Elephas maximus indicus: one gene and its partners. The protein of the gene in region 3 interacts with the protein of the main gene of each other region in a pairwise test. Links are inferred from orthologs where the notes say so. Each region holds a gene or a part of one and is shown on either strand. Other genes may lie near its edges. The genes, in order: myelin P2 protein, PSMB10, CCNDBP1 and AMPD2.

Region 1 (7,874 bases), on a different chromosome or scaffold from region 3:
GTGTTTGTATGCACCCATGCATTTGTGTGAGTTAGAATTTTGGTCTAATTTTGGTTTTTCTCTAGCTCTGTCCAGGACCCTCTATTGTGATCCCTGTCAGAGAAGTCACTGCTGGTAGCCAGGCACCATCTAGTTGTGCTTGACTTAGTCTAATAGAGGCTATTGAAATTGCGGTCCATCAGTCATTTGGACTAATCTTTCTCTTGTGTTTTTGGTTTTCTTCATTCTCTGTATGGGGCTGTTCTACCCTGTCTTATAGGGTTGCTATGAGTCAGAATCGACTTGACGACAGTGGGTTTGGTTTGGTTTTTTTGGTCATTCTCCCTTGCTCCAGATGGGGTGAGACCAGTAGAGTGTCTTTGATGGCTGCTTACAAGCTTTTAAGGCCTCAGACGCCACTTGCCAAGGTAGAATGTAGAACATTTTCTTCGTCAACTATGTTATGCCAGTTGAGCTAGAAGTTTCCTGAGATCATGGTCCTCATAGCCCTCAGCCCAATTATTCAGTCTTTCAGGGAGTTTGTATGTGTCTATGGAGCTTCCATGACCTTCCCTTGGAAAGTTGTGCTGGCTTCCCCAGTATTGTGAATTCTCTTACCCTTCACAGAAGTCATCATTCATTTTTATAAAGTGTTTTGGAGAAGAAACACACATTCACTAATCAAAACCCTTTTTAAAAAATAACTGTTTTCTCTGTCCAAGTTCAATATGCCCCTCCAGTTACATTCTCTTGGGGCTGGGAGTGGGTTAGCTGGTTAGCTCAGGAATTTTTCTATTTATTGTTTCATGCTCACTTTAAGTTATTCATGCACTAGTAATGTAAGATGAGATTTGGGCCCACAGTATATAATGTTGCATTTTGACCTGGCTTGTATCCTAACCACATAATTACAATAGCTATGACACAGCATGACACTGGCAAGCTGAGACCTTGAAGCCAATGATTCTATTTGTTATGAGCAAATTGACCAGGAGATATTTTCATTGCTGTGAAAAGTGCCAACCTGTGTACTAAATATAAAAACCTGGGAGGTGGGGCCAAGACGGCAGAGTACTCAGACGCTTCCTGTGGTCCCTCTTACAAAAAAGACCTCAAAAAACAAGTGAATCGATTATATATGACAATCTAGGAGCCCTGAACATCAAAGGCAAAGTTGAGGAATCAGACTTAGAGGCAGAGGGAGGGAGAGAAAGTTCAGAAGCAGCAAGGAGCTGCCAGACCTGACCCAGCGGGAACTGGCACCCTGCAGGCTGGATCACCTGGCATGCGAGGGAAGGCAAGCAGTGACACACAGGACGCATTTTCCACATCAGGAGAGGCTGAATGGTGAAGAGTCCACTCGAGCCTCCAGAACCAGTGAAAAGCAGCACTCAATAAGCAAAAGATAAGTACATGTGTCTAACCTACCAAGTGGATCAGAAAACACCCCTTTTGGGAAGAACCTCTCTCCCATTTACCTGCCGACTCTGCACTGGGTCCTGGACTGGGTTCAATGATTGTTGTGCCCCTGGGCCAGAAGTAGGACCCATCGCGTGCGCTGAGCCATTTTCCTGGCTTTGGAGAGGGAACAAATTAGCAAACAAGAAAGAATAATCTTTCAGCTTCCCTAAGCCAGGAACTCAGGGCAGACACAGCCCCTTTGCCTAGCCACAGGCATAAGGGGTCCATAGACTTTGAATGCCTTTCACCTCTGCATAGAACTGTGAGGGCCCATCTCAACAGAGAAGGCCCTCATTAGCACAGTACAACAGGGTATATACCTGAAGTCTAATTTCAACCGTATCAGCTATAAGCTGGAGTGGCAGATTCAAGACATTTGACATCACTCCACCCATTAAGCAGGGCCTTCACCTACCCACATCAGGGGCCTGGGGATTGGTGACTCCACCCACACCACCTAGCCACCTGCGATGGGGCCCAAGAATAAGCGGTTCCACCTAGTCCTTACAGCCAACAGCATTGGGTGCCCATAATCCAGCTGCAAAACCCACCCACCTATGTGCTGTAGGGAACAGGGACATGCTTTCCTCCCAGACACTCAAGGGGAGGTGTCAGCCCCCTGCCTTGCTCAGTGTATGACTAAAGCCTACTGCAGCCAGATACCTGTGCCTACTTCAATCACCCCTGCCCATCTAGAAATATAAGTGAGAACCTGTACCACACACTTGGTGACCCACTACCTGGACACCTGAGCTGAATCCATACAAGAAAAGTAAGTGGACTCATTGGCTCACATACATTTTAACAGCTCTAACCACCTGGCAACAGGATGTGAGAGCTTCAAACCTTTGATAATCAAACTAACTCTCGCAACCAGCCTATTTGGGCATATCAAAACAATACAAAACTAGAAGCTAGGACACAGTATGCAAACATAAAATAAATAAATATAATAACTTATTGATGGCTCAGAGACAACAGTCAATATTAAATCACATGAAGAGGCAGACCATGATGGCTTCAGCAAGTGTCGAAGACAAAGAATCAAGAAATCTTCCAGAGGAAGATAACTTGGAATTACCAGAGGTAAAATTGAAAAGATTAATATACAGAGCTCTTCAAGAGATCAGGAAGGAGATCAGGCAAAACACAGAACAAGGCAAGGAACAAGCAGACAAAGCAATAAAGGAAGTTAATAAGGTTATACGAGAGCATAAAGACAAATTTAACAGGCTGCAAGAATTCATAGAGAGACAGCAAACAGAAACCCAGAAGATTAACAGTAAAATTTCAGAATTAGACAATTCAATTGAAAGTAATAGGAGCAGAATGAGGCAATGGAAGGCAGAATCAGTGAGATTGAAGATAAAGCACTTGATATCAACTTATTTGAGGAAAAATCAGATAAAAGAATTTTGAAAAAATGAAGAAACCCTAAGAATTATGGGGGACTGTATCAAGAGGAATAACCTACAAGTGATTGGGGTACCAGAAAATGGGGGGATAACAGAAAATACAGAGAAAATTGTTGAAAATTTGTTGGCAGAAAATCTCCCTGATATCATGAAAGATGAGAAGATATCTATCCAAGAATCTCATCAAACCCCACACAAGGGGTTGATCCCAAAAGAAAGTCACCAAGACATATTACAATCAAATTTGCCAAAACCGAAGATAGAGAATTTAAGAGCAGCTAGGGATAAATGAAAGTCATCTACAAAGAAGAGCCAATAAGACTAAGCTTGGACTACTCAGCAGAAACCATACAGGCAATAAAGCAATGGTTGACATATATTAAACTTTGAAGGAAAAAAAAAATTGCCAGCCAAGGGTTATATATCCAGCAAAACTAACTCTCAAATATGATGGACAAATCAGGGCATTTCCAGATAAACAGAAGTTTAGAGAATTTGCAAAAACCAAAACAAAATTGCAAAAAATACTAAAAGGAGTCCTCCAGTTAGAAAATCAATCTCATATAACAACCCAAGACTAGAACACAGGACAGAACCACCAGATAGCAACCAAGATAGGGAAGTCACAAATAAATTAAAGCTGAAACACCAAAAATAGGGAAACAGAGAAGTCAATATGTAAAATATGACATTAAATAAATGTAAAACCCTGGTAATGTCAGTTGTCTCATAGCCATGACTAAAGCTAACATTGAAAACCTGCTAGTCCCCCTGGTCAAGCCTGGCACTCTGGCGCACCATAACAGCCTGGCGGCTTCAGCTCTTGATTTTTACCTTTCTTGATTAGTGAGCAGAGAATGAGTGTCTCTAGCTAGTCATAGTGATGCCAGGGTAACCTATTCTTTGGCTGGGGCCTCTGTGCATGTATGGTGGACAGGGAGCAGTGTAAGAGAGCAGTTCAGATTCTGGGTTCTGGGGCACAAAGCCAGGTTCAAATTGTGCTTCTTCCCATTCAGGTCTTGGGATCTTGAGCAAATGATGTAAACTCGCTGGGCTCTGGTTTTCTCATTGGTAGAACTGACACAATAATAGCACCCAACTCTTGGAGTTAACTGTGATGATTAAATGAGATAGTGTGTATTAAGCACTTAGCACAGTGCCTCGCACATAATGAGCTCTCAGTATACGTTAGCATTGTTATTACTGATAATCCTTTCTCTTTGTAAAACATTAGATTTATCTAAAATGACTTAAGTAACTCAACATTGTTAAATTAACTAAAAGCTGCTTAGTTATGACTTAAGGTTTTTTTTTTTTTTGATAGATGAAAATCTTTGCTGTGGCCAAAGAGCATGTCATAGTGCTACTCCTTGTCCGGATACATGAATAGAATTTCTGTCTTCTACTGCAATAGACCGACCTCATTGTCTGCCTACTCTGCCTGCCTGGATATGTGAACTATGTCAAGCCTCCCTTACCTATGAATACTTCCTCACACTGCTCCCTTGCATTTCTCTCCCACACCATATTTGAGGAGTTTATCACAATAGTCATGGTCATTTTTCCTCTTTTTTCCCTTTTAATAAGAATTCCTAATTGTGCCAACTCAAGATTGAGAGTGACCAAGATGCCTAAGCACACAGAGACATACATACATTCACTGATACTGGCACAATTTAGCCTGGCATAGGATTTAATTCATGGAGTCTTTTCCAAAGCATTAAGAACCCAAGCACTTCTTATAAATATAAAGTCAACCAAATGTTTTTTGAAGGTTCAAATAGCTCTCTCATTCATTTTTATAATTTTTATAAAAAAGACAGAGGCGGCATTATGTGGGGCTATCTTTTGTCCTAATGAATGGGCAGCTGATGATTGAAGAGCCATTCATTGCCCAGTCCTGACACTGCCTTTCCCCATTGGGTCTCTGTGAGAGTCACATGTTTGGGGCATCTTTGAAAAGAATCTTGAAATGAGCCTGGACACCTCACTTGAGTCTCCCGAGTCCCAGCTAGAACTGTGGTGAACAGTCATCCACCACAATGTGCAAAAAATTCCTGGGCACCTGGAAACTTGTCTCCAGTGAGAACTTTGATGAGTACATGAAAGCTCTGGGTAAGAAATTGTTCTTTGTAATTTTGGCTGAGATCTTTTTTTTTTTTTTAGAAGATCCTTTTGGATAAAGTTGGATGATTATTTCCTTCTAACTCCTTTTCCAGGAGTCTGGGGAAGTATGCATAGGCTGAAGTACCATCGTCTTCAGGGGTTAACATTCTGTTGGGTCATTCAACTAATTTATTTGCATTTTGTTTGTGGCAATTTTACTAGGTTTTAACCTAAGAGAGCTGCTTAAGTGCATGAGATCCCCACTGATTTCAACTGCAGTTCCATATCAATCAGGCTTTGGTTTCAGACCAGAGGACAGAAATTTTAGAAGCTTAGTCAGCCCGTTCCCAGGTTTTTCTAATAGCTAGTTTTATAGCAACTTATGTGCTCATAAAGTTCAGTATATTGAAGATACTCGGAAGTTCCAATTTTAAATTTTGATGTTTAGCTTAACTAAAATTTAGTCTCCTCTCTCTACTTCTAGGTTGTCCATTATTACATACTCACATAGATACAGAGAGTTTGAAGAAGAAAAAAATGCTTCCAAAAGTAGGAAGTTCATAGCCTAAGGGAGTTACTGAGAGAGAGTTAGAGTAGTTGGTACGGTTGAAGACTCAGTCACTAGTTAACATCAATTTTATTTTATACTATTTCCAGCGAATGGTCCACATATTTGAACACAACAGATGTGAAGACCCTTCGGAAATTTTCAGAGCTGTATAAATGTAAAAGTGATGCCAATGACCTTGGGTTGCCATGCTTGTCAAAGTGCCTGTAATTTTACTTACCTGTTCAGAAAGTTTATCCAAGAGGTTCTATTTTTAGGTAAAATGAGCAAAATCATGTCTTTGTTGCCTGGAAAGCTATGAAAGCTTTTGGGGATAGAGCCATACTGTGAGGTTGATTAGATTTATGGACTTCATTTTGCAGCTGAGGAAGAAGCAAAGTATAAGACAGTCTCAGTAAGAGACTTCCTAATTCAGTTGTGTCCAAATTTTAGAGTTCACAAGAAAACTTGTTAAATGCAGATTCTCAGGCTCTAATCCAGAGATTCTGATTTAATTGGAGAAATGCTTTCCTATATCACATGAAATAACAAAAGCTTAACCAGGATTAGAAGAACACTTGAGTCATAGTTCCTATGAGCTGTAACTCTTCAAGTTTTTTTTAGCATATATATATTTTTTTTTTTATATTTTTTTAATAGGGGGAAGTAAATCTAAGCATTGGGACTTCCAACAGGAGCCTTAAAACCCTTTGCCGTTGAGTCAATTCTGACTCATAGCGACCTTATAGGACAGAGTAGAACTGCTCCATATGGTTTCCAAGGAAGGCCTGGTGAATTTGAACTGGCAACCTTTTTGGTTAGCGGCTGTAGCTCTAAACCACTGCACCTCTAGGGTTTCCATAACAGGAGCCTTAGGAGGCTTGGGAAACTAGTTTTTCTTTTATGTATTTTTCTCATTTGACATTTTGCCTTTTCCATGGATTTCTGTAGTCTTGTGTAATAATAGTAAGAAAACACAAGTTTACTTTTGTTTTATTTTTCAAATGCAGGCTTTTTAAAAATAATTTGATTTATCTATGTTCATTTCCAACTGTATATATCTTGAGGCTAGATGGAGAGTTTTTTTCCAACCAGAGAGACTTAGGAAGCCACACACACACAAAAAAACGAAGTGAGATTCTATCATGGATGATGGGAGAGTTCTCTATACCCATAATATATGACAAGGGGAAAAAATATCACAGAACAGTGTGTGTATATGTCATGGTTTCACTTTTCAACATATACCTATTATATATCTATAATATTTGTTTTCCCCAACTAAAATGATCTGCACAAAACTACAGTTAGTGATTTTCAATGGTAAGTGGGGCCATATATGGAAAAAATGTACAACTTGTACGATTTAGGCTGAACGGTCTCTTCAAAAATCTTCAAGTGTTACAATGGACATGCATTTTTATTAACTGATGAAATATGGGGAAGACCTTCAGTAATAAGCCATATTGCCTGTCATCTGACACCTGAGACACAAATGAGAACAAAATGTGGCTATGCATGATCTCTCCTGGTATGTTGTCTCAGTCAACACAATTCTAACACTATCTTGATTTTTCAGGTGTGGGGTTAGCCACCAGAAAACTGGGAAATTTGGCCAAGCCCAGAGTGATCATCAGCAAGAAAGGGGACATTATAACTATAAGAACAGAAAGTACCTTTAAAAATACAGAGATCTCCTTCAAGCTAGGTCAGGAATTTGAAGAAACCACAGCTGATAATAGGAAAACAAAGGTAAGCTTTAAAGGTCTTTGCAAAGTTTGCTCAGTCTACTGTTTGAGAGAAAGTATTATTCCTTCTAGTGTTCCAAAAGGTAGACTCCCTTTTAGAATTAACGTGCCACATGAGACTTCCATTATGAAAATGATTCAATATTCAATGATTTGTTTCTTTTATCAACTAGACACCACGCAGGCCAATTATGTGAACATGTCTTTACAGAGCATTGTAACCTTGGAGAGAGGCTCACTGAATCACGTACAGAAATGGGATGGCAAAGAGACAACAATAAAGAGAAAGTTAGTGGACGGAAAAATGGTTGTGGTAAGAGTGTTTTCACTTCTGAATACAGAAGAATGTTATTCACATAGGAAAACTAGTTATATTATTTTCTAAATATTCTTTTTTCTTAGGAATACAAGTGGATAAAAATAACTAAGAATAAAGTCAGAGTTAAAGAAAAAAAAAATGCCTAGGTGATATTTAAACCATAAAGACTCTCATCTTGAAGTACTTGAAGTAGTGGCCCAAGATATTAGACATAATAAAGGCCTAAATCAGGTAGTAAAGTTAAAGAAAGTATGGATAAATTTCATTAATTTTGATTCACAAAGAGAAAAGAAAGTTTG
Region 2 (7,006 bases), on a different chromosome or scaffold from region 3:
TTTACAACAGTCCCCAGTAGACTAGGGAGCAAGAGCAAGGTAGGGGAGTGGCAGAGGGGAGCCTCTGTGCTGTGGAGAGTCAAAAGCGAAGTTTTGGAGGCAACAAGATGTGAGCTTTCCACCTTCAACCTGCAGTGCTTGCCAGGGCTGGGTTCCTAGAGGGATGGGCACCTGAGGTGATAGGGAAGGGCGCTTTTAGAACAGGTGCTGGAGTTGTGGAAGGGATGGCTGCTCCAGGGACCCACTGGCCACCAGGCCCTGCTGGCTGCCTGCCCGTCTCTACCCAAGAACACCACAGCTCTCTGTTTAGGTATTTGCATTTTCTGGTTTTATTCTTCCTTGTTTCAAGCTCTGAGCCTCAGCTTACTTCACTCCACCTCCATGGCCTGAACGGTTTCCTCCAGAAGCTCCAGGGTCAGTGGCCTTACCATCTGGGTCAGGACAGGCGTGGTCCCAGGAGCAAAGTGGTACCTGCCCGGTCTGGAGACAGGGGGGCCAGCCTCTCAACATGGGCCCATAATGTGGCCCCATCCTCTCCTTGCAGGCCCCTGGCTTCCCTGCTTATCCCCACCTTAGCCTCCCCTGTATTCCCCACCTGCCTGTTCTCACCTCTTTATGGGCTCTGTGGGTGAGCTCAGTGTCCGCAGCAGCCTGGCACCAGTCCAGGTGATGACACATGCATCCACACTGCCCCCTGAGCCCAGGTCACCCAGGATCCCTGCAGTGATAGCTTCTACCAGGAGCCCCTGTGCATCCTCCAGCTGTGATGATGGATATTTGAGGCCTGATGTGCCCTTTTGGTGTCATGCTCAGGCCACAGCCTGAGGACTTTGGTAATTCCTAAACATTGACTATTTGCCATTCACTGCATCCAGTCTCTTCTCTCCCCTGACATCCCTCCTCCCTGAGTTTCAGCTTTCTTCTCTCCTAAGACCCCATGTTCCCTCTGCCCACTGTCACCTCTCTTTACAAGCTTTACAGAGCCGTCTATACTCGCTGCCCAGCTACTACCAGCCTGTCGCCACTCAACCTATTTTTAGTCCCAATGCATGAGCTCACTGCGTTTCCCTCCCTGGGCCTTAGCCACCTCTTTCAAGACATATATCATCTACTTTTTTTTTTTTTTTTCCCACCCCAAACAAAATCCACACTCCAGACTTCGTATAAGGCCCCACTGGCCGTCCCCTCCTCCCTCCGCTACAGTCAAATGAACCTCTCTTGAGCTTCGAATCCTCGGGACTGTCCAGCCTTTGGCACTGGCCGGTATTCTGTCTGGATGGCACTTACCCTTCACCCCACACTCTGCTCGTCCCTCAGTCTCCACTCAGAAGTCACCTTCTCCAAGAACCCTTCCCCAACCTCCACACCGGGCCAGCGTCCCTCTGGGCTCCCCCAACACCCGGATGCACTTCCCACCAGTGACTCCGCGGTGGGAGGACAGGGGTCGCTCACCGTCATATTCGGCTGGAACCGGTCCTCCAGCATTGCCATGGCCGCGTCCTGGCCGGAGCCTACAGGGGGAGAGGCATCTGAGATCAGCCGCGGCCGCCCAGTGGGGGAAAGGTGCAAACGAGAGGCCAGGGTCGCAGGGGCGGGGATCGTGGAGAAGGGACGCAAGCGCTCACCCAGGGCCGCGAAGGGCAGACGACTGTAGGATCCATGTGGATGCACGCTGTAAAGCTGCGGTCCTTTAACGTCTACACCCCCCACGATCAACGACGCGCCCACGTGACCGCGGTACCTGCCGACGGAGTGGGCGTCATCACCCGCAGATTTTGGAACCCAGACCCCGCCCCTCCATTCTAGTCCAGCCCCTCCCCGTGGTCCGGTGCCCCATGACTGTCATCGCTCCTTCCTGTTGACCGTCTCGTCTTAGGCCGGCCTCTTCCGGTCTCCCGACACCCCTCTCTCCTGCCCCACCTCTTAGCCCCGTCCTTCCCCTGACGGCCCGGTCCCCAGGTAGTCTTGGCCCCGCCCCCAGCACCGAAAGAGCGTCTGGCGCAGAACGCGGGTGACCGTGGCCACGCGGGGCTCGCGGCCCGTAGACAGCGCGTGTAGTTCCATGTTGGACGCCGCCATCCGCGTGGTCATCTGGGTGTCTGCGGCAACTCCAGCCCCACAGCAGCTGAGGGCGAAGGGAGGGCTGGTGTGGGTAGTGCTCTAATATGCAAGGGACGGGGCGTGGAGACGAGGGGTGGTTTTTGCGTGGGGGAACAGGGCTGGGAGGGTCCTCACTAGATTTTGGGGGCGATGAAGTGGATCTTCTCGCAGTTCTTGTCTGCCACGACCGAGTCGTTAGTGGCCCTCGTGTCCGCGCCCAGGATGACCCCGTCCTACGAGGATTGAAGGACCGCTGACTCAGTGTTCGGCCGGTCCCCCGGCCGCTGTTCCGGGTTCCCCCCAGCCTGCCCTCCCTCTCACCCGGAAAACAAGGCCCGCGATGGTAGTCCCGGTCTTGCGTGCATGAGGGGCCCGGAGCTCCGGGAGCAGGCGTTCTAAGGATGCGTTTCTGGAAAGGGAGGTGGTGGCCCGAGTTTCGGTTCTTCCAAGATTCCCCAACCCCAATTCTCCAACCCCCCAAGCCCGTCCTGGACTCCCTCTTCCTGGGGTAAGCCTGGGAACCGAGTCATGCCCATGTTTCCCCACCAGTACTACCACCAGGGGAAAAAAAACCCTGGGGCCCTACCCTCCGAAGCTCTTACGGCCGGATCGGGGCGGGGGGCGGGGGGCGCGGGACCAGCCCCTCCCATGGCGGGGATCGGCTGCGCGGGACCGGCCCCTCCCCACACACACCTCTGGCAGTTTTCGAAGGAGAAGCCCCCTCGGGGCTCCAGAGCTGGTTGCAGCATCTCCGGGCGGGCTGGGTGGTCCAGGAACTATAGGTCAATAGATCAGAGGAGTGGGGCGAGGCCGGTGGGAGTGAGACCGGCTTAGGGCTAGGGCGCAACGTCTGACGCTTCCTGCTTTCGTTTTCACCTTTCTTCAGAGGCCACTGGCCCCTTTCTGCATCGTCTTTCACTTTCACCTTCAGCCGGTTCAAGGCAGCTTGGGAATCCGGGGAAGCCCCTGCTCCCTGTGTCCTCAGAGCAGAGAGGGGTAAACCCCAGCTCCTCTGGCCATTGAACAGTTGAGCCTGTGTTGAGCTCCTCCTCCCCCTTCCAGTCTAGAGCCCAGGTGTGCCTACCCTAACCCTAACTCTAGCCTTAACTGCTAAGGCTGTCAGACCATGGACCAGATCCGTTTGGATTGTTACTGGCCTAAGGACAGCATCATACATGGCTCCATACCTTTCCGTGGTTAAAACCCTTCTACAGCTGCACTGCTATTCATAAGGTTTTCACTGGCTAATGCTTTTCAGCAGTAGACTGCCAGGTCCTTCTTCCTAGTCCGTCTTAGTCTGGAAGCTCAGCTGAAACCTGTCCTCCATGGGTAACCCTGCTGGTATCTGAATACTGGTGGCATAGCTTCCAGCATCACAGCAACATGCAAGCCCCCGCAGTACAACAAACTGACAGACAGGAAGACCAAAGAATTGACACCTTTGAATTGTGGTGTTGGCGAGGAATATTGAATATACCATGGACTGCCAAAAGAACAAATCGGTCTCAGAAGAAGTATAGCCAGAATGCTCCTTAGAAGCAAGGATGGCAAGACTGCATCTTACATACTTTGGACATGTTGTCAGGAGGGATCAGTCCCTGGAGAAGGACATCATGTTTGGCAGAGTACAGGGTCAGCAGAAAAGAGGAAGACCCTCAACGAGGTGGATTGACACAGTGGCTACAACAATGAGCTCAAGCATAACAACGATTGTAAGGATGGCTCAGGACCGGGTAGTGTTTCGTTCTCTTGTGCGTAGGGTTGCTACGTGTCAGAACTGACTCGATGGCACCTAACAACAACAGCTGCGCTCTGCTCTTAGGCTTAAGCCCAAGACTTCAGTGGCCCATGTTGACCTCATCCCTCTGACCTCAGCATTGGCACCACCTCCTCTGGGAAGCCTTCTTGACCCTCAAGGCTCAATCAGGTTCTTGTAGGTGACTCTTACTCCTCCTATACTTTTCTCTCAAAGGACTTAGCTCCATTTACAATTAACCCTTCATCAGGGAACTGATCTGATTAATGGCTGTCACCTCCCCACCAGAGTCTAAACTCTTGTGCTTCTGTCCTCCACATAGCAGGTGCTCAAAAGGCCCTGTCTAGAGGTGTCTTGCCCTTCTGGGTGCCGGCAGGGCCAGCTCTCATCTCTGTGCACCCCAGGCTCCATGTGCCCCCGTCCCATGCTGGGTGTACAGCTGGCTTCAGTCTCCATGCCCAAACAGTTCACCTGGAGAGTAGGTGCCTTGTTCAGTCCCAGTTTTATAGAGCCCAGCTTGCCCCATATTCCACAAAGCTTCTGGCCTTTGGCCGATGATGAGGGAATCCTGATGTGTGGACCCTAGTGTTTCCCCCTTAACCCACAACACACACCTTTGGGCTTAAAGCAGCAAAGGCAGGTTTATTCAGGGTGCAGGGACCTTGGGCTGGAGCCACTTCGGTAGGCGCCCTGCAGGATTGCATTGATATGCTCCAGCGTCTGGTTGCTGAAGACCATGTTTAGGTGCTGTATCCCGTGCAGGGGCAGCAGGTGCACAGGTTGCGGCTGACGACCCTTCCAGCGGCCACAGAGCTCAGTACTGCGTGTGGCTACTGTGTCATCACCATCCTCATAGAGTGCAGCCACAGGGTCCGTGTAGGGGAAGCCGTGGTCATAGATGTAGGTGTGAGGCGTGGGCAGGCCTACACCGTACAGACAGTACACTTCCACCCCAGGGGCTGGGAGCCCTGCCAGCAGGTCACGTGACTGTAGCCACATGTACCAGCCTTCCTCAAAGTGCATGTCCACAAAGAAGCGCTGGAAGTCACGGCCTGTGTAGTTGAAGCTGGGTGTGGAAATGAATATATGGTCCTCAGGCCACGCCAGGCGGGATGGAAACATCCAGGGGGAGGTGGTTGTCATTCGCTGCTCCTCTCTCAGCTTGATGCTGGACATGATTGGGATGCCCTGGTTGTCGCCTGTGGATATGGAGCAAGGTGGGCAGGAAACCAGGCTGGGCCACCCCTAACTCACATTCTGCCCCCAGCCCAGGCTCAGCTGGATCCTGAATCTTGTCACTGCCCAAAACAGACATCGGCTCCAAGCCATAGACCAGAACAGCTCTGGCATTCAGTAGGTGCTCAATGTGTGCTTATTAAACAAGAAGTCCTGATGGCACCTCTGTGTGGCCTCAAAAGGAAGGCAGGGAGGGGTGTCCTGAGGATGGGTGTGAATGATGGTGGGCTGGTAGCGCTGGTTCCTTCCCCTCAGACAAGTGTCTGTTGGACTCTGCGGCTTGTGCTACACAGGACCAGAGTTGTGCCTGGGAAGGAGGCAATGAGACCCTGTCTATTTGGCATTTATTGGTGTGATTACCTGATGCATGTCTGTTTCCCCCACCAGACTGTGAGCTTCTAGGGGAAAGGCTGAGTCTGGCTGTGCCCAACAGGTAGCAGTGATGTCAGTGCTGGGTCCCTAGTGCCATTCCTCAGGGAAGGGCAGGAGGGGCTCCTAGGGCCTGGCCCTTAGTAGGGCAGATCCCTGGGCAAAGGGGCTCTTGAGAGCAGAAGGCAGTTGAAAGCGGGGAGGGTAGGCCGTGGGGGACAGGGAACAACCTCAGGTTATGATTAAAGTTGCTGGGGGTTGCTTCCTCTGGGTTTATCTCCCCTTTGTCATCCCTGTCACTCTGGAAGGAACCATCCTCGTGGTCCAGGCCCAGCTCATTGCTCTGGGGTACCCATGCCAGGGCCCCAGGGAAAGGAGGCAATACTTCTAGAGGCCAGCCTGGGATGGCATCATGAACAGAAGCTGGAGTGGGGGCAGGCTTATGGTCAGGATGTGGGTAAACACGCCACTCACCTGAAGCCAGGACCAGCATGGGCTTGATGGAGCCACCCCAGGGGGCCCCAAGAGAGATGAAGCCATCGATGAATCGGTCCTTCCAGGACTGGGGCTGTTGCAGCAAGAAGTAGAGCAAGTGCAAGCAGCCGAGGCTGTGCCCGATGAGGAAGACGGGCTTCCCGTAGGCCGCATGCATCTCTTCCACCAGCCCAGTGAGCTTCTGGTAATACTCTCCCTGCTGACCTGCCGGTGGTAGGTGGGGTCAGGGCCTTCAGTGTCAGGGATCACTCGCCCCAGCCCAAGCCTGACACTCATAGAGACACTCACTGGGTTCCAGCCGCCAGTCATAGGGGGCAGCCCGCACTGTCTCATCCCGCACGTAGCCATTGTTGACTAGATTCTGCACCAGCGTGTGCATGTAACCTGTGGGAGCAGCAGCAGCATTGAGAGCTCTGGCTCTGGCTCCCAGAGCCCCTGCCCTTTTCCCCAATACACACACCTGCCAGCTTGTTCTTATCCAGGTACTCAACAGAGTATGTCTTGCCAAAGCCCGGGACACGGATCTGCACACCAGGGGCATTGGACACATGCCCAGAGCTTCGGTTGTAGACAACCCTGTGGGTAGCAGGACATTCAGCACGCCAATAGCCAAGGGCAGGGCATGAGGGCTGGGGTGGAGGGGATGGCATGCACCTGGTATTATCAATCCAGCAGTCCACTCCAAGGGGCAGGAACATATTGAGATCCAGCCAGATGGTGAAGAAGTCCTCTGTCTTGCGGTAGCACATCCAGTTCACCACGTCCGGTTTGTCCAGCTTGGCTTCTAGCTGATTCCCCAGGCAGCCAGGCACTGCGGGCACCGGACCCCTTGGATCCCTCATGGCCCCCACCGATTCTTAGCCCCAGATACTGCAGTCCCCAGCCCCACACCTAGGTCTCCCCTGCCCTCAACCCCCAGACACTTAGGACACTGATCTTCTTTCCAATTTCCCCTCCCCCTCCCCCCCAGTAGCCCAAAGCCTGGGCTCCCCTCAGGAGCAGAAGGCGCAGGGGCCAGGGTCATTGACCCCTGCCTCTGGAAAGCAAACA
Region 3 (7,250 bases):
CTGTGAAGTACTCACCATATCTTAGACCAAGATCTGGCAAACTATAGCCCACAGGCCAAATCAAGCCTACTGCCAAGTTTTGTAAGTAAAGTACAGTAAAACCTGCAAAAGCTGGAACCTGTGTAAGGTGGAAACCTGTCAGAGAGGAAAACTCAATTTTTTTCCAATAAACCAAGCGAGAGAAAAGTGGTAAGGCTGCACCCTGTGAAAGGCAGAAAACTTGCAAGGCCTAGAAAAACAAGGCAGTCCTGTTGAGTTCTGGCTCTGACAGGTTTCACTGTATTACTGGAACACAATTATCTACTATTTGCCAACTCCTGTCTTAGACCATTATATCTCCCCACCCTCATTCTCTCCTTTGTTTTAATAGAATCACATGGACTCAGCAATGTTCAATGTTGACTCTCTTCCTCTAAAGCAGTCACTGGCTTTCTCCTACCTTCCTTGTCTTCACTTAATCTGCTAAGTTCTAAGCCCGTGCTATGCCAGGTGTGGCCCACAGGTTGGTGCCAATCCACAAACTGTTTATTACCAGTCCAGGATGATATAAATACAGTGATTGAGAATAAGTATTTAGGCACTTTCATGGCAATTTGACATTGTGTAACATCCAAGCACACAGTTTTCTAAAAATATCTATCAGTCCATAATGGGTGATATTCCTCATCTGAATGATCGCTGCTCAAAACCACGAGAGCTCATTCAACTCCGTAGTTTTCAGTGTATCAGTATTCAGTGTATTTTAAACTACAGGACTAAGATGCTGAGATTCCTTATATATGTCGTTCAAATAAAACCAAATTCTAAATTTAAATTTTCACCCATGAGTAAAATCACTGTACTGAGCATGTACAGAAAAATAGTTCTATGTTGCCTCCTCATGGGATCTTACTAGCTATGAATTTTGGCAAGTCCTAAGTGTATATGAAAGAAAGGAATCTGCATATAAGAGGAAAAAAGGTAATACTGCTAGTTCCTTTGATAGAAATATTGACTTTCTTCCACGAAGCTTTTAAAGTGCTGTACTCCGAGTCATCCCGTTTCCTCAACACAGATCTCTGAGGTATGAGGAGGGGGTTTATCATTGTGGGTTCAGTGAAAGAATGTATCATTTCAAAGCATCGGAGACTGAAACTACTGACCATGAGAATGAAGTAAGTCAATGAGTATGCCACTTTTAAATAATCTTACCCCCCAAATAGGCATACTTAGCTCTAGAAAAACTGGGCATACCTGGTCCCAGCCTACATGTTTATTTTCATTAGTTTTATAATATAATAAAGTGTTAAAGTGTATAATTCTTTGTTCTAGTAATGCCACTTCTGGGAATTTTTTTTCTACCAATATGCATACGCACACACAGATTGTACCAGGTAATTCACCACAGCACTCGTTATAGTTACAAGTTACATTTGTGTAAAAAGCATGTGTACATGAATGTGTATATGCACAGAATAAATATGGAAAAATACAAAAAGAACTGGGGGGGAGGCAAAAACGAGAAACTGGAGTTGTGAGATATAAACATTTTAGCATACTTTGATATCTTTTTAATTTCATACCATATACATGTTACTAATTCAGTATAAAAAATTAAAATAGTTCAGGAAAACTGGATGAATGGAAACAGGGAACCTGGGGTGGAGAAGGGGAGAGTGTTGACACATTGTGGGGTTGGCAACCAACGTCACAAAACAATATGCGTATTATTTAATGAAAAACTCTTTGCTATGTAAACTTTCACCTAAATCACAATAAAATAAAAATTCAAAAAGGGTTTTATGTAGTACAGCAGAAAAGATGTAGCTTTGACAACAGACAGACCCCAACTTAATCCCGGCCTCACTGCTTATTTACCCTAACATGAGCGTCTGAGCCTGCTTGTTCATCTGTCGGAGGAGGGCTATGTATGTGAAAACACCCAGCAAGCTGTAAGTGCTTTTTTAAAAAAGTTATCAGAAATGAACGAACCAGGCTGGACTTTAAATTGAACCAATATTTAGAAGACCTGTCTACTCCCCACCATGTAGCGCACCTGGCAATTTTACGCGCATTGCCGTATTTGGTCTTCACAACAATCCTTTAAGGTAAGAACTGTAATCCCATTTGGCAGATGAGGGAATTAAGTCCCCTGGCTTGAGTGTAAAAGGTGGGAAGGAGGCAGCACAAGGAAACTGGGGAAGTGAAGCCCACCTGTGGAGACGGCAGCGGAAGTCTGGAGAAGGCTGTGGTCAGAGTCGTGGCTTCGCTGGCCACTTTCACAGCCGCCTCGTCTGCAGGGTGGAAGAGGAGGCAGGTGCCAATGTGTTAGTGCCAAAACAAGGCTGCAGCTGCTCGCAGACGTCAAAGACAATGCGTTCCCTCTTCACCCTTGCCGGCTGAGGCGTCTCAAAAACACCTCCAAAAATCACTGCCGAGGAAGGGTAAGGAGAGGTACCCCCACGCTGAGGATACGGCGGGGGAGCGTGGTCACCTCCCTGAGGGAGAGTGGGAGGGAAAGGGGTTGGGACGCAGCTCAGGGTGCAGAAGGGCCCAAGGATAAACGGAAGAGGTAAGGGATGGGGACGCCAAGACTAGCACTCACTGAGTCTCCTCCAAAACTTCTCCCGATTGAACTCCTCGGTGGTCTCCTGCGCTTCGCCGACTTGTGGGTGTGGCGCGTGGGGGCCGGGCGGGGGCAAAAGAAAAGCTGGAGTAAGCGGAGCCAGCTCTGCCCCCCACCTCCTCCGCCCCGACCGCCGCCACCGCCCCAGCCTGCTCTCTCCCCAGTCCCAACCCGCCTGTCATCGCCCCGCAACGGCGTCAGCTCACCCCGCACTCCAGGCATGAGCGACCGCAGCTCCACTGCCAAGTGCCGGAGCTGCTCCAAAGGCGGAGCCAGGGTGGGGAAGGCGGCTGCAGGGGCAGCTGTGCTTGCCATCTCAGTCGCTTGCCTGGTGACTACAAACGTCGCCACCGCCGGTACCAGAGACGCACTGCGGAAGCCACCCCACTTCCGGGAGCCACAAACTGAGGTCCGCTTCCGGCAACAACCCTTCACGCCCCGCCCCGGGAGCGCTGCCTCGCCCCTATCACTTCAGAGGCCGAGCCACGTGTCCACGTCAGCAGTCACTCTCCGAAGACAGGCCCCGCCTTCCTCCCGCCCCCAGGCGCCAGGCCACGCCTCCTCCCGCTGCCTGATGCTAAACCGCGCCCGCCCCTCCCCGCCTAAGGCCAGGCCACAACACGCAAGAGCCATATTGATTCCTCATTGATTCATTCATTTATTTGATTAACTGAAAACACCCCCGACTAAGGAAGCTGAGAACCATAACCCTGCAGGAAAACAGGGCTAGGAGCTAACATCTGAAGGGCAGTTAGGGTCAGGTCCAAGTTCCAAGTTCCCTGCCCCTGAAGTGGCACCTCTGGCAACTGCTGAGTGCCAAGCACTGTACTAGGTGCTTTATGTGGGGTAACGTAAACACCCTGGGCCTCAGATGCTCCCATACATACACCCAGCCTGTGGATCCACCCTGAGGATCTCCTAGATTAGGGCTTTCTCTTCACAAAGGTCAATCAACCTTTTGCATTCTTGAGGAAGAAAGAAATCACAGCATTAATTAGAGATTTTCCTCCAGTCCATTCTGCAGCAATCAGTAGTGGGTAGTCCCTTTAACTCCCAGGTGTCCAAAAAGCTGCAGCTCCACGAAGCTCTGCCACCAGCACTGGCTCTCCACCTGCTTCACTAGAGGTGGAGCTGAGCTGGGCCCAGCTGCTCATGGGGAGGCATGGCCTTCAGGAGCTCAGGTGGCTTTTTAACTGCACAATGAAGGTTCCAAGCTCAGTGGGGTTCAGTGTCCACACACAACGAATGAGAATGGGTGTCAGCAGTGTCAACCAGGTCCGCAAAGGGGAGAAGAAAAAAGCTAGGGTGCCATACGTCACGTGAAGGAAGTAGCAGGAGTAGACCTGCCAAACGTACAGTAGTAGCATAAGTAGGTGAACAGGTACAATTTTCAAGTATTTTCCTTGGTGGAGATGAGATCTGAAGTTGTGACCAAAGCACCGCTGCAACAAGCTCCAGGACAGGTAAGTCATCAAGGGGATGTTAAAAAACACCAGCTGCAAAGAGGAGCAGAGGAGAACCATTAGCTTTCTACCACGCCTTGGAGGGGTAGGTATCCTTAATACATTATTGGTAGCTCCCAAGAATGTTGCCTTTTCTCTTGGGGTTAGTTAGTTCTCTGATTCTCTCCTTTGATCACTTGCATATTATACAACAGTTCACTTATACTATAGTTAGTTTTGTATTTGCCTGTGTCCTTTTGTTCATCTTAAAGGCAGGTGTCATTTATGTTGAAATCTCCACTACCACATAACAGCAGATACTCAATAGAGTTTAAGTTGAATTGAGTATGTGTATGTGTGTGTTTATACTCATGTGTACACACACACACATATATATATATATATATAGGCTCTAACTTTTTTTTTTTTTTGGTTGATGGGAACTTGGGTATCAGTATTTTTTTTCCTTATCTCTATTTGAGGCGGCATGAGTGCTGGAATACAAATTAGAAGCTTTAATACAAGCTTAGGTGCTGTTACGATTCATTCATTTATTCAAAAAGTAATTACTGGGCACTCATTATGTGGAAGGCACTGTACTACGCTCTCAGTTTTGGACACATGAGTGAGCAAGTCTGAAAAGATCCACTATGGAGCTTACATTCTAACAGGGAGAAGAGAGACTGAAAAAAAAAAAAGATAACTGGTTGTGGTAAGTTCAATGAAAGAAAGAACTGGTCATGAAAGTAACTGGGAGATGACCTCTCTGAGGCCTGAGGACAGGAATGAATCAGTGGAGGGACATGCATTCCAGGCAGAAGGAACAAATAAAAAGCCCAAAGGTGGGGGAGGCCTTTAAGGCCAATGTGTCTGGAGAATGACCAACCAGGTGTAGATTGGAGCAGACAGTAGGGCCCAGATAATGTCACTGCTCTGCTTAAAGGGTTATACTCTGAGAAGTGAGTGAGCTGATTCAGGTCTTAAAAAGATCACATTGGATGCTTTGTGGTGAACTGACAGTAGGGGAGCAAGAGCAGGAGTAAGAAGAGCAGTGAGGGGTCAGTATAGTAGCCCAGGGAAGCCATAATTATGACTAGGTTGGTGGCAGCAGAGATGGTGAGAAGTGTATAGACTCACGGTGTATATTGGAGGTAGACCAAACAAGGTACAACTTGCTGATGGACTAGATATAGCACATGAGGGAAGGGGAAGAACTGAGGATACACCCTGGAGAAACTGGATGAATGGTGGCGCCATTTATTGAAATTGGAAAGAACCAAGAGAGGAACAGGTTTGGGGATGAAAATTAAAGGTTCTATTAGAGACATAATATTGAGATGTCTGTTAGACATCTAAGGGAAGATCTGAAATGACAGTCGAATATACAGGCACTTGAACTGCAGAGAAGAGGTCTAAGCCAGAGATACAGATTTGGGAGTCATGAACCTGTATGATGCATAAAATCCATTTATTAGTGTACTATTTATTAAACTATGAATGTAAACATTTACAAAGAGAAAGAAGTCTTTTGGCAAAGTTCTGGTTTTACTTGGTAAAAGAGTGCTCCCGAGATCCAGCCTCCATCTACATAATGGAAACTAAACTGGACCTAGGACCTTCTCACATATACAATGCTGCCATGCAGGGAATGTTCTAGCCTAGGCTCAGTGTTTGCTAGGCCAAGGTCTTGCCTATTTGACTGTCTCCAATCCTGCTCATCTTGTTTTACTGCCCTGGTATGAGGCTTTGAACTCATTGTGAACCATGTTTTTTGATCTCTTCCAAAACTTCAGATTACCACCTCAGATTCTGGTCCAGGTACAGTGGTTAAGAGCTCGGATGCGAACCAAAAGGTCGGCAGTTTGAATCCACCTGCCACTCCTTGGAAACCCTGTGGGGCGGTTCCACTCTGTCCTATAGGGTTGCTGTGACTTGGAACTGACTCAGTGGCAACGAGTTTGGTTTTACCTCATTAAACAAAAAACCAAACCCACTGCTGTTGAGTTGATTCCGACTCCTAGTGACCCAGTAGGACAGAGCAGAATTGCCCTATAGAGTTTCCAAGGCTGTAAATTGTTACAGAAGCAGACCGCTAGGTAGAACGGCTGGTAGGTTCAAACTGCCACCTTTTGGTTAGCAGTCAAGCATTTTAACCACTGAGCCACCAGGTCTGGCTTGTTGGTCTAGCGCCATCAGATGAGTAAAATAAAGAACTAGGTAAATACTTTTGAAATCTGTTTATGGAGATTTGCTATGGGTCAGGGCTCTTTGTGTGTTTTAAAGGACTCTTAATCCAAATGTATACCTAATCTATCAGCATTTCCCATGCAGGTACCCTGCTAAGACACCATGGGAAAGCCCAGGTCTCGTTTTTGCCCAGTGCCATTTCCATTGGATAAATAAGCCACTTTTCTTGTGTGTCTATTTTTACTTTCTTCTTCCTGAAACATTTTCGTTCTTTATTAATCATAATCAATTTTGATTTAGTGTGAACTCTATCATTTATTCTACTATTAGACCCTTATTTCATCTTCTGTCAATGAAAAAGCAAAATGAAACAAGTAACAGCAACAAAAATCTCTTTCACCTCTTACAAATCCTGCCTTCCAAAAATCTATTTTAGATGTTTACAAGAGAGTGGTGGAAGAAAGCACTTAGGAAGCACTCTAAATACAAACAGAACACCAGTTATTAAAGACTGCCCTGACTGCAAAGTCGGAAAGATGATCCACAGCATTTCATTTCAGATTTGGGGGGTAATTCATAACTGTAATGCAATTAGTCCAACAAGGCCAAGATGTTCTTAAATTGCATTTCCAACTTCTTACCTGGAGAATTCCAACTACAAATGTTAAGCTGCCTTGTAGGAAATGTCCATCAACAAAGATCCCAAAAGAAAAGCAGCAACCCAATTTGCCTGTAATGATTTCACCAACAAACCATGGTCCTAAAAGAGGCAATGGATAGGAAAGGAGATTATATAATTATGACTCTGATTACATACATCTATGAGATGCATTACAGGAATAATGAAAAGATATGAGACTACTTAAATCTATAAGCATTTTATTTGCCAGGCTTTTCTTCTTTGCTAATCTCTGTGTTGCATCTGATGTCCTAACTATCCATCTAAGTATCTGCTCCCTTCCTCCATATTTCTCTGGGTTGTAAAAGCTACACCGGGAATAGACATGTAAATGTAG
Region 4 (6,957 bases), on a different chromosome or scaffold from region 3:
TTCATATAACTGGACTATGTGAAGAAGAACATGGCATCAAGAATAAAGAAAAACTCAACAACCTGCAATATGCAGATGACACAACCTTGCTTGCTGAAAGCAAAGAGGACTCAGAGCACTTTTTGATGAAGATCAAAGACTACAGCCTTCACTATGGATTACATCTCAACGTAAAGAAAATAAAAATCCTCATAACTAGACCAGTAAGTAACACTACAACAAACGGAGAAAAGACTGCAGTTGTCAAGGATTTCATTTTACTTGGATCCATAATCAACGGCCATGGAAGCAGCAATCGAGAAATCAAACAACACATTGCATTGGGCAAATCTGCTGCAAAAGACCTCTTTAAAATGTTAAAAAGCAAAGATGCCACCCTGAAGACTAAGGTGCACCTGACTCAAGCCATGGTATTTTCAACTGCCTCATATGCACGAGAAAGCTGGACTATGAATAAGGAAGACCGAAGAAGAATCGATGCCTTGGAATTATGTATTGACAAAGAATACTGAATATGCCATGGACTGCCAGAAGTACAAACAAATCTGACTTGGAAGTGGTACAGCCAAAATGCTCCTTAAAAGTGAGGATGGTGAGACTCATTTCACGTTCTTTGGACATGTTATCAGGAGGACCAGTCCCTGGAGAAGGACATCATGCTTGGTAAAGTAGAGGGTATGCAAAAGAAAAAAAGACCCTCAATGAGATGGATTGACAGTGGCTGCAACAATGGGCTCAAACATAACAATGATTGTGAGGATGGCACAGGATCGGGCAGTGTTTCGTTCTGTTGTACATAGGGTCACTGTGAGTTGGAACCAACTCCACCATACCTAACAACAGCCCTGCCCCCAGGGTGTCGGGCAGAGCCAAAGGTCCTTGCTTGCCTAAGAACCCTGATCCTACATACCTGCTCCCCAAATACAGCCCCAGGCCACTTCCAACCCGCTCAAGGGGAGGCAGACCATAAACCTCATGGCTGTTCTGTTTTGGGTCAGCAATATGGGAGCTGAAGGCCCAATTCTCAGCCCCCTCTCCAAATGGGATAGCCTGGGGCCCCACAACTATCATGGGGGTGACAAGGACAGCCAGAGCCTTCCACAAACCTGCCATGGCACCGGGTGGGTAATCTCCAAACTCTGTGGGGCCAGGGCATAGAAGACTCAACTGCCAGCTGGGTCCCTTTTCCCAGTTCCTCTGCTGGAGGTTGCCGGTTACAGCACCACACACACATATACTCCCATACTCACAGTCACACAGGGGGAGGGTCAACCAAAGGCCAGAGGGGCCCAACCCCACCAGTCCATGCACAGCTACTCCCCAGCCACTCCCACTAACTCCAAGATCCTGGCCACCCATCTCCTCTCTTCACCAGGAGCCCCTCTCTCACTGCCAAGCGTGCTGAAGAGTACCAGATGCTCTCACCCAAGGTCTCTGGTTCAGCAACTGGTATAGATCTAGCCCCAGCGGACATACCTTTTGGATGGCAAAGAACTGGGCACAGATAAACATGACCCTCAACACAGTACAGGCCTCAGGCCAGGCATCTTCAGTGGCATACAAAATACAGATGGGAGATGTTCAAGCTATAGGTACAGGCACCTGCTGAGGGAGTTGGCTTGACCTTGTTGCCAAAATGGGGGTGGGTCCTTCCTCAACCACAAGGGCCTGGGGGCACCAGGCAGCAGGCAGACTCTATCCCTCAGCAGGCACAGGCCCAGGCAACTGAGCCTTCAGGGAGATCACTGCCGCACCGCACTGCCTGCTCCAAATGGTGCAGAGATGCTCCCAGAGTGGAAGCCGAACCAAAGGGTGCAGGAGCACACGCAGCACAGCTGCAGCCCCCGCTTGAACCCCCACACATGCCTGACTCATGGAACCCTATCCCCATGAGGAGGCTCATACACAGACCAGGAACGAGCAAACCATACAGCCACAAAGCTGAGCTTCCCAGCTCCAAGATGCCTGCCAGCGATGGTCTGCCCTAACGTCAGACCCCCAGCCAGTAGGTTCTGGGTCTGGGGTCCTAGAAAGCGGAGCTAGCTGCAGGAGGAAGCCTGAGCCTACCTGGGAAGGCACAGCCACCAGTCGGTGTGGCCAGTCGGAACACCACACACCCCCAATCCATTCACACACTCCACACACTGACACGTGTGCATACATACTTCTTGCTGCACCCACACCAACTCCTTGTTAACAGAGGACAGCATCCCCGACACAGAAACCTCAGTCACCCCCCACCCCACCATCCTATACACACGACCTTCCAAGCCAGCTGTTCCTGGGATCGAGGGGCAAGTCTGCAGAGTGGGTACCGGAGAAGGGGAATCCCTCTCTGAGGGGCCAGTGGTCTGGGCTAGAGGTGGTAGGGAAAGAGGTGCCTCCTGGCCGGGAAGCAGACTCACCTGGTACTGCGGCTGAGGCCTGCAGGCTGGCCCGCTTCTTAAAGGGATACTTGGCCTTGGGCTTGCTGGGGCCAGATGGATAGGATGCCATGGCTGGGGCCGCGGCGACAATGCGCGGGGAGCCTGAATGGCTCCGGCTGGGGCCTCGCTTTGCCACATCCAACCCTTTCCTACGCTCCGCCCCCAGCGGGAGTGACTGATGCAGGAAGCAGCGGCCCGGCGGGCGGAAGAGGCCCTGGCCATGATTTCTGGTGTTGTCTAGGCAACCTCGGGGAGTGGGGTCTCCATCCCGCCCCTTATCCCTCCGCTCCCTCCCCTCCTCAATTCCTGGAGTGATGTGACTGATGGTGGCCCGACTCGGGGGGTTGGGGGAAAAAGCCAGTCCCCAGCTCTCAACCCACCCCTCAGGAACCCTCACCCCTTGCCAGGACTCCAGGGCAAAGGAGCCAAAGTCCAGGTTGGCTGGTCCAGCCAGTCCCGGAGAAAAAAAAAAAACACGATCCAGTCCCCGCCTCCAAGCTGAGAACACGTTCCTCCCAAGGCAGGCGTACTGGGGCACTTCTCTTTGAAAACCTAGCCCCTCTGGGACAGAGCCCCCTTTTTTTCTCTATCTGATCCCCAGCTCCAGTGGTAGCCCAGGTCGGGAGGAGGGTGTGGGTAGAACGGAGAATCTCAGCCCGGTAAGGAGGGGCCGGTCTTGGGAAAATTCCACTGTCGGGCAGAAGCTACCCTCTAGGAAGACAGGAGGAGGGGGCTTGTCTGGGGGTCTGGGAAAGAGACCCCAGCTGCTTCTGACTTTTCCCTCTGTCTTTCCACACTCACGCGCTCCTTCCCTAAACCCCTCCCCCCCGCAGGGGGAGCTGATGGCTTCCCTAGGTTCTGCAGGCTGTGCTGAGACCCCCAACCGCCTGTCACCCTTGCCATCCCCAGGACCCTCCTCCCAACACACGCACACACACTCACCTGAGGCCATGCTGCCCAAGCCCCAAGGGGCACGGGGGAGGCTCCCCGCGAGGGTCTGCGGAGCCGGGAAGCCTGGGTTAGGAGGGAGGAGGGGAGGCTGGGGCCGAGACCCTCGTCAAGACGCTCCAAGGGCTCCTGCTCTGGCACTGAGGTGGAAGAAGTAAGGTAGCCTTTCAAAACTGCCAGCTAGCAGGAGGCAGATCCCGGCCGATCTCGGCGGCTGGAATGGCCTCGGGGGACCCCGGAGTCCAGGCCCCCAGCCCAGCGACAGAGGCGGGCAAGCCACGTGCTGCCCAGGGAGCGGGGCCTGGAACTCGTCCAGGCTCCTGAACACTCTCTGGGTACCAGGGTCGGGGCCGGCAGATGGACTGTGAGGGAATCACGCAACAGGTGCGACCCCGCCAAAAACCCGCCCACGCCTAGCCGGTCTTTGCGGCCCCAGGCCCCGCCCCCGCTCGGTCCGCCGCCGCCGGGCCAGCCCCAGCCCCACCCGCGCCATTTTTTCTCTTGCCGGCGCCACGTGGGCAGCGACCGCAGGGCTTGGCGACTTGGTTCCCGGGTCTTGGGCAAGTCCCTGAACTTTCCATGGGTCAGCTTCCTCATCAGTAAGATGGTAATAATAATCAGTAAGATGGTAATGGATGATAATAGTACGTCACTCAAAGGGGTATTGTGAAGATTAAAGATAAAGCCCATATTTGCACAGGGCCTAGCACAAAGCGCCCAATAAAAGGTAGCTGTTATCCCAGGATTTACTTTAAGCAGAAGTGGTAGCCCAGCATTCCCACTCTAGGTCATCAGCTTTTTTCTGACAGGCGTAGGTAGGGAGGGTGTGCCCTGCAATTCTGGCTCCCCTTTCCACATTTATTTCTGTATTTGGTGGTGACGAGCATAGGCTCTGTGGCCAAATTGCCTGGGTTCAAATCCAGGCTTCTCCACCCACTGCCTGACTGACGTTGGCCAAGTTACTTCTCTGTACTTCCATTTTCCTTGTAACATGAGTGTACAAGTATCTGAAGATTATTAGGATAAATGACGTAATACATGTAAAGTGCTCAGAACGGTGCCTGGCCTGTAGTTATCACTGTCATGTCTTTTACCTTGGTTCCCCTTCCACCCTCTGACACACTGATTCACCTTACCGCCTGTAAAGAAGTGAAGTTGGACGATTTGGGGAGCTGCAGGTACTCCATCCAACCAGCACCCCCACCCCCAAGTGGCAGACAAGGCTACCTAAAGGAAACTCGCGTGAGGAGGGATTAAATTCATATGACCTTGCTGAATATAATTGTGTTATCAGCAGTTACAACAGTTTCTTCTAAGAGAGGACAGGACAAGTTCCCGCTTGTGAGAGTCCTTTGCCCCCTACACCTACTTGTACTAATGCTGTCTATCCAGCTCCTCCCAGTTCTCACTACCACCACAGCCAAAGTCCTTTTTCCCAAACTCCCTCCCCCACCTGGCTGCATTCTGGACCCTGAACCCTGTTCTCTACCTGCATCTAGCACCGCCTCCATTGATCCCCTGCCTACTACTCCTCACGTCAGATAAACAAAACTCCATGGCCTCCATAACACAGAAAATATATGTTCACCTCACAAGGAATCAATGAAACAAAGAAATACTACCAAATTAGCAAGCATTAAGAAAAAGATAATCCAAATGCTGGCAAGGGTGTAGTTAGTGATTGATTTAGGAGATAATATTGGAGTCGTTTATTCCCTGTCCTAAAATGTGACCCAGCTGGAGCTAGACTCACAAGGACACATCAAACTGGGCCCTGAGGTATAAAGACAATAGCTAGGACAGTCTTAGAAAACATCTTTCAGGGAAACTTTCATATAAACCAATCATAAACAGAACACAAAAGTTCTGTTTCCACTAATCTTTTTCTGTTAGCATTTAGTGAATAGTAAGATTTGTCAGACCAATAAAACCTCCAGACTTTCCTCATTACTGAAACCTGTACTAAAGATTGTTAAGAAAGACAATTGGAAATGTAGAATTACTTAACAGTGTTTAGTCAGTCTGTGAAAAGGTGGAGCTTTGAAAGATTTTGCCTATTTTGTAAGGTCAATATATACTGATGATTCTGTTCCTTGGACTTGGGCAGACATGGCTCTGGCAGCGTGGTTGTGTTTTCCCATTCTTGCCTGTTACTCAGCAGATGTGGCTCTAGCAGCGTGCTTGTCCATTTCCCACTTTTGCATCTTGGAATGTATGCCAAATAAAGCTTTCTTTTTGCTTTACTAACATTGTGATGTTTTTACCCTACAACATGATTTAGGAGATAATATTGGAGCCATTATTCCCAGTCTTAGAATGTGACCCAGCTGGAGCTGGACTCACAAGGACCCACAAGGACACATCAACTGGGCCCTGAGGTATAAATACAATAGCTAGAACAATCTTGGAAAACATCTTTTAAGGAAACTTTCACATAAACAAATCATAAAACACAGCACAAAAGACCCATATACTTTCCACTCTTCTTCTATTAGCATTTAGTGAATAGTAAGATTTGTTGGACCAATGAAGACTCCCCTGTTGCTGAAACCTGTACCAATGATTGTTGATGAAGACAATTCAAAACGTAGGATTTCGGAGATTCAGCAGTTTCTAGCCGATCTTTGAAAAGGTGAAGCTTTCAATGGTTTTTGCCCGTTTGTAATGTTAATATATATTGATGATTCCATAACTTGGACTCAGACAGACATGGCTCTAGCAGCATTCTTGTGCATTTTCCCACTTTTGCTTATTCTGTAATATTTCCTCAGACTTGGGCAGACATGCCTCTAGCAGCATGCTTATCCATTTCCTACTTTTGTCTCTTGGACTATATGCCAAGTAAAACTTTTCTTTTTGCTTTACTGAACTTTGTGATGATTTTACTCTAGAATATTAGTGAGATGGGGCACACACATACACTACTGGCAGGTCTAAACATTGATATAATATCCCTGAAAGCCATTTAGCAATATGTAATCAAGAGTCTTAAAAAGGTTCATATTATTTGACCTTGAAAAATTGCTCTTAATAAAAAAAAAAAGGGGGGGGCCACATAAACCAGAGACTCCATCAGCTTGAGACCAGAAGAACTAGATGGTGCCTGGCTACCACCAATGACTGCCCTGACGGAACACAACAGAGAGTCCCTGATGGAGCAGTAGAAAAGTGGGGTGCAGAACTCAAATTCTAGTAAAAAGACCAGACTTAATGGTCTGACTGAGACTGGAGGGACACGAGAAGACATGGCCCCCCGACTCTCTGCCAGCCCAAAACTAAAACCATTCCCAAACCCAACTCTTCAGACAATGATTAGACTGGACTATAAGACATAAAATGATACTGGTGAGGAATGTGCTTCTTAGCTCAAGTAGACACATGAGACTATGTGGGTAGCTCCTGTCCAGATGCCAGATGAGAAGGCAGAGGGGGACAGGAGCTGGCTGAATGGACACGGGAAATACACGTAGAGAGGAGGAGTGTGCTGTCACATTACAGGGAGAGCAACTAGGATCACATAACAATGTGTGTATAAATTTTTGAATGAGAAACTGACTTGAATTGTAAACTTTTACTTAAAGCA

Evidence for each region.
Region 1: the proteins of CCNDBP1 (region 3) and myelin P2 protein interact in binary tests that used the Homo sapiens proteins (3 or more experiments, as listed by UniProt). The two-hybrid records come from large-scale screens. The link is inferred for Elephas maximus indicus from reciprocal best matches to the Homo sapiens genes CCNDBP1 and PMP2.
Region 2: the proteins of CCNDBP1 (region 3) and PSMB10 interact in binary tests that used the Homo sapiens proteins (3 or more experiments, as listed by UniProt). The two-hybrid records come from large-scale screens. The link is inferred for Elephas maximus indicus from reciprocal best matches to the Homo sapiens genes CCNDBP1 and PSMB10.
Region 4: the proteins of CCNDBP1 (region 3) and AMPD2 interact in binary tests that used the Homo sapiens proteins (3 or more experiments, as listed by UniProt). The two-hybrid records come from large-scale screens. The link is inferred for Elephas maximus indicus from reciprocal best matches to the Homo sapiens genes CCNDBP1 and AMPD2.

What each region holds. Positions count from the first base shown.
Region 1 is NC_064833.1:60,096,431-60,104,304, forward strand, and holds the start of myelin P2 protein, read left to right. Parts: upstream 1-4,860; 5' UTR 4,861-4,897; coding exon 4,898-4,970; intron 4,971-7,087; coding exon 7,088-7,260; intron 7,261-7,467; coding exon 7,468-7,569; intron 7,570-7,874.
Region 2 is NC_064839.1:34,375,228-34,382,233, forward strand, and holds PSMB10 (proteasome subunit beta type-10), read right to left. Parts: upstream 3,001-7,006; 5' UTR 2,850-3,000; coding exon 2,794-2,849; intron 2,510-2,793; coding exon 2,422-2,509; intron 2,334-2,421; coding exon 2,236-2,333; intron 2,126-2,235; coding exon 1,985-2,125; intron 1,742-1,984; coding exon 1,626-1,741; intron 1,512-1,625; coding exon 1,453-1,511; intron 762-1,452; coding exon 610-761; intron 481-609; coding exon 369-480; coding exon of another isoform or gene 364-368; 3' UTR 306-363; downstream 1-305. Other genes in the region: LCAT (phosphatidylcholine-sterol acyltransferase), read right to left, coding at 4,499-5,055, 5,936-6,160, 6,245-6,340, 6,417-6,767. UniProt on the Homo sapiens protein: The proteasome is a multicatalytic proteinase complex which is characterized by its ability to cleave peptides with Arg, Phe, Tyr, Leu, and Glu adjacent to the leaving group at neutral or slightly basic pH.
Region 3 is NC_064828.1:12,855,079-12,862,328, forward strand, and holds the start of CCNDBP1 (cyclin-D1-binding protein 1), read right to left. Parts: upstream 3,013-7,250; 5' UTR 2,921-3,012; coding exon 2,812-2,920; intron 2,645-2,811; coding exon 2,585-2,644; intron 2,274-2,584; coding exon 2,194-2,273; intron 1-2,193. Other genes in the region: TMEM62 (transmembrane protein 62), read right to left, coding at 3,775-4,101, 6,876-6,994. UniProt on the Homo sapiens protein: May negatively regulate cell cycle progression. May act at least in part via inhibition of the cyclin-D1/CDK4 complex, thereby preventing phosphorylation of RB1 and blocking E2F-dependent transcription.
Region 4 is NC_064821.1:171,939,222-171,946,178, forward strand, and holds the start of AMPD2 (AMP deaminase 2), read right to left. Parts: upstream 3,012-6,957; 5' UTR 2,565-3,011; coding exon of another isoform or gene 2,497-2,564; coding exon 2,406-2,496; intron 1-2,405. UniProt on the Homo sapiens protein: AMP deaminase plays a critical role in energy metabolism. Catalyzes the deamination of AMP to IMP and plays an important role in the purine nucleotide cycle.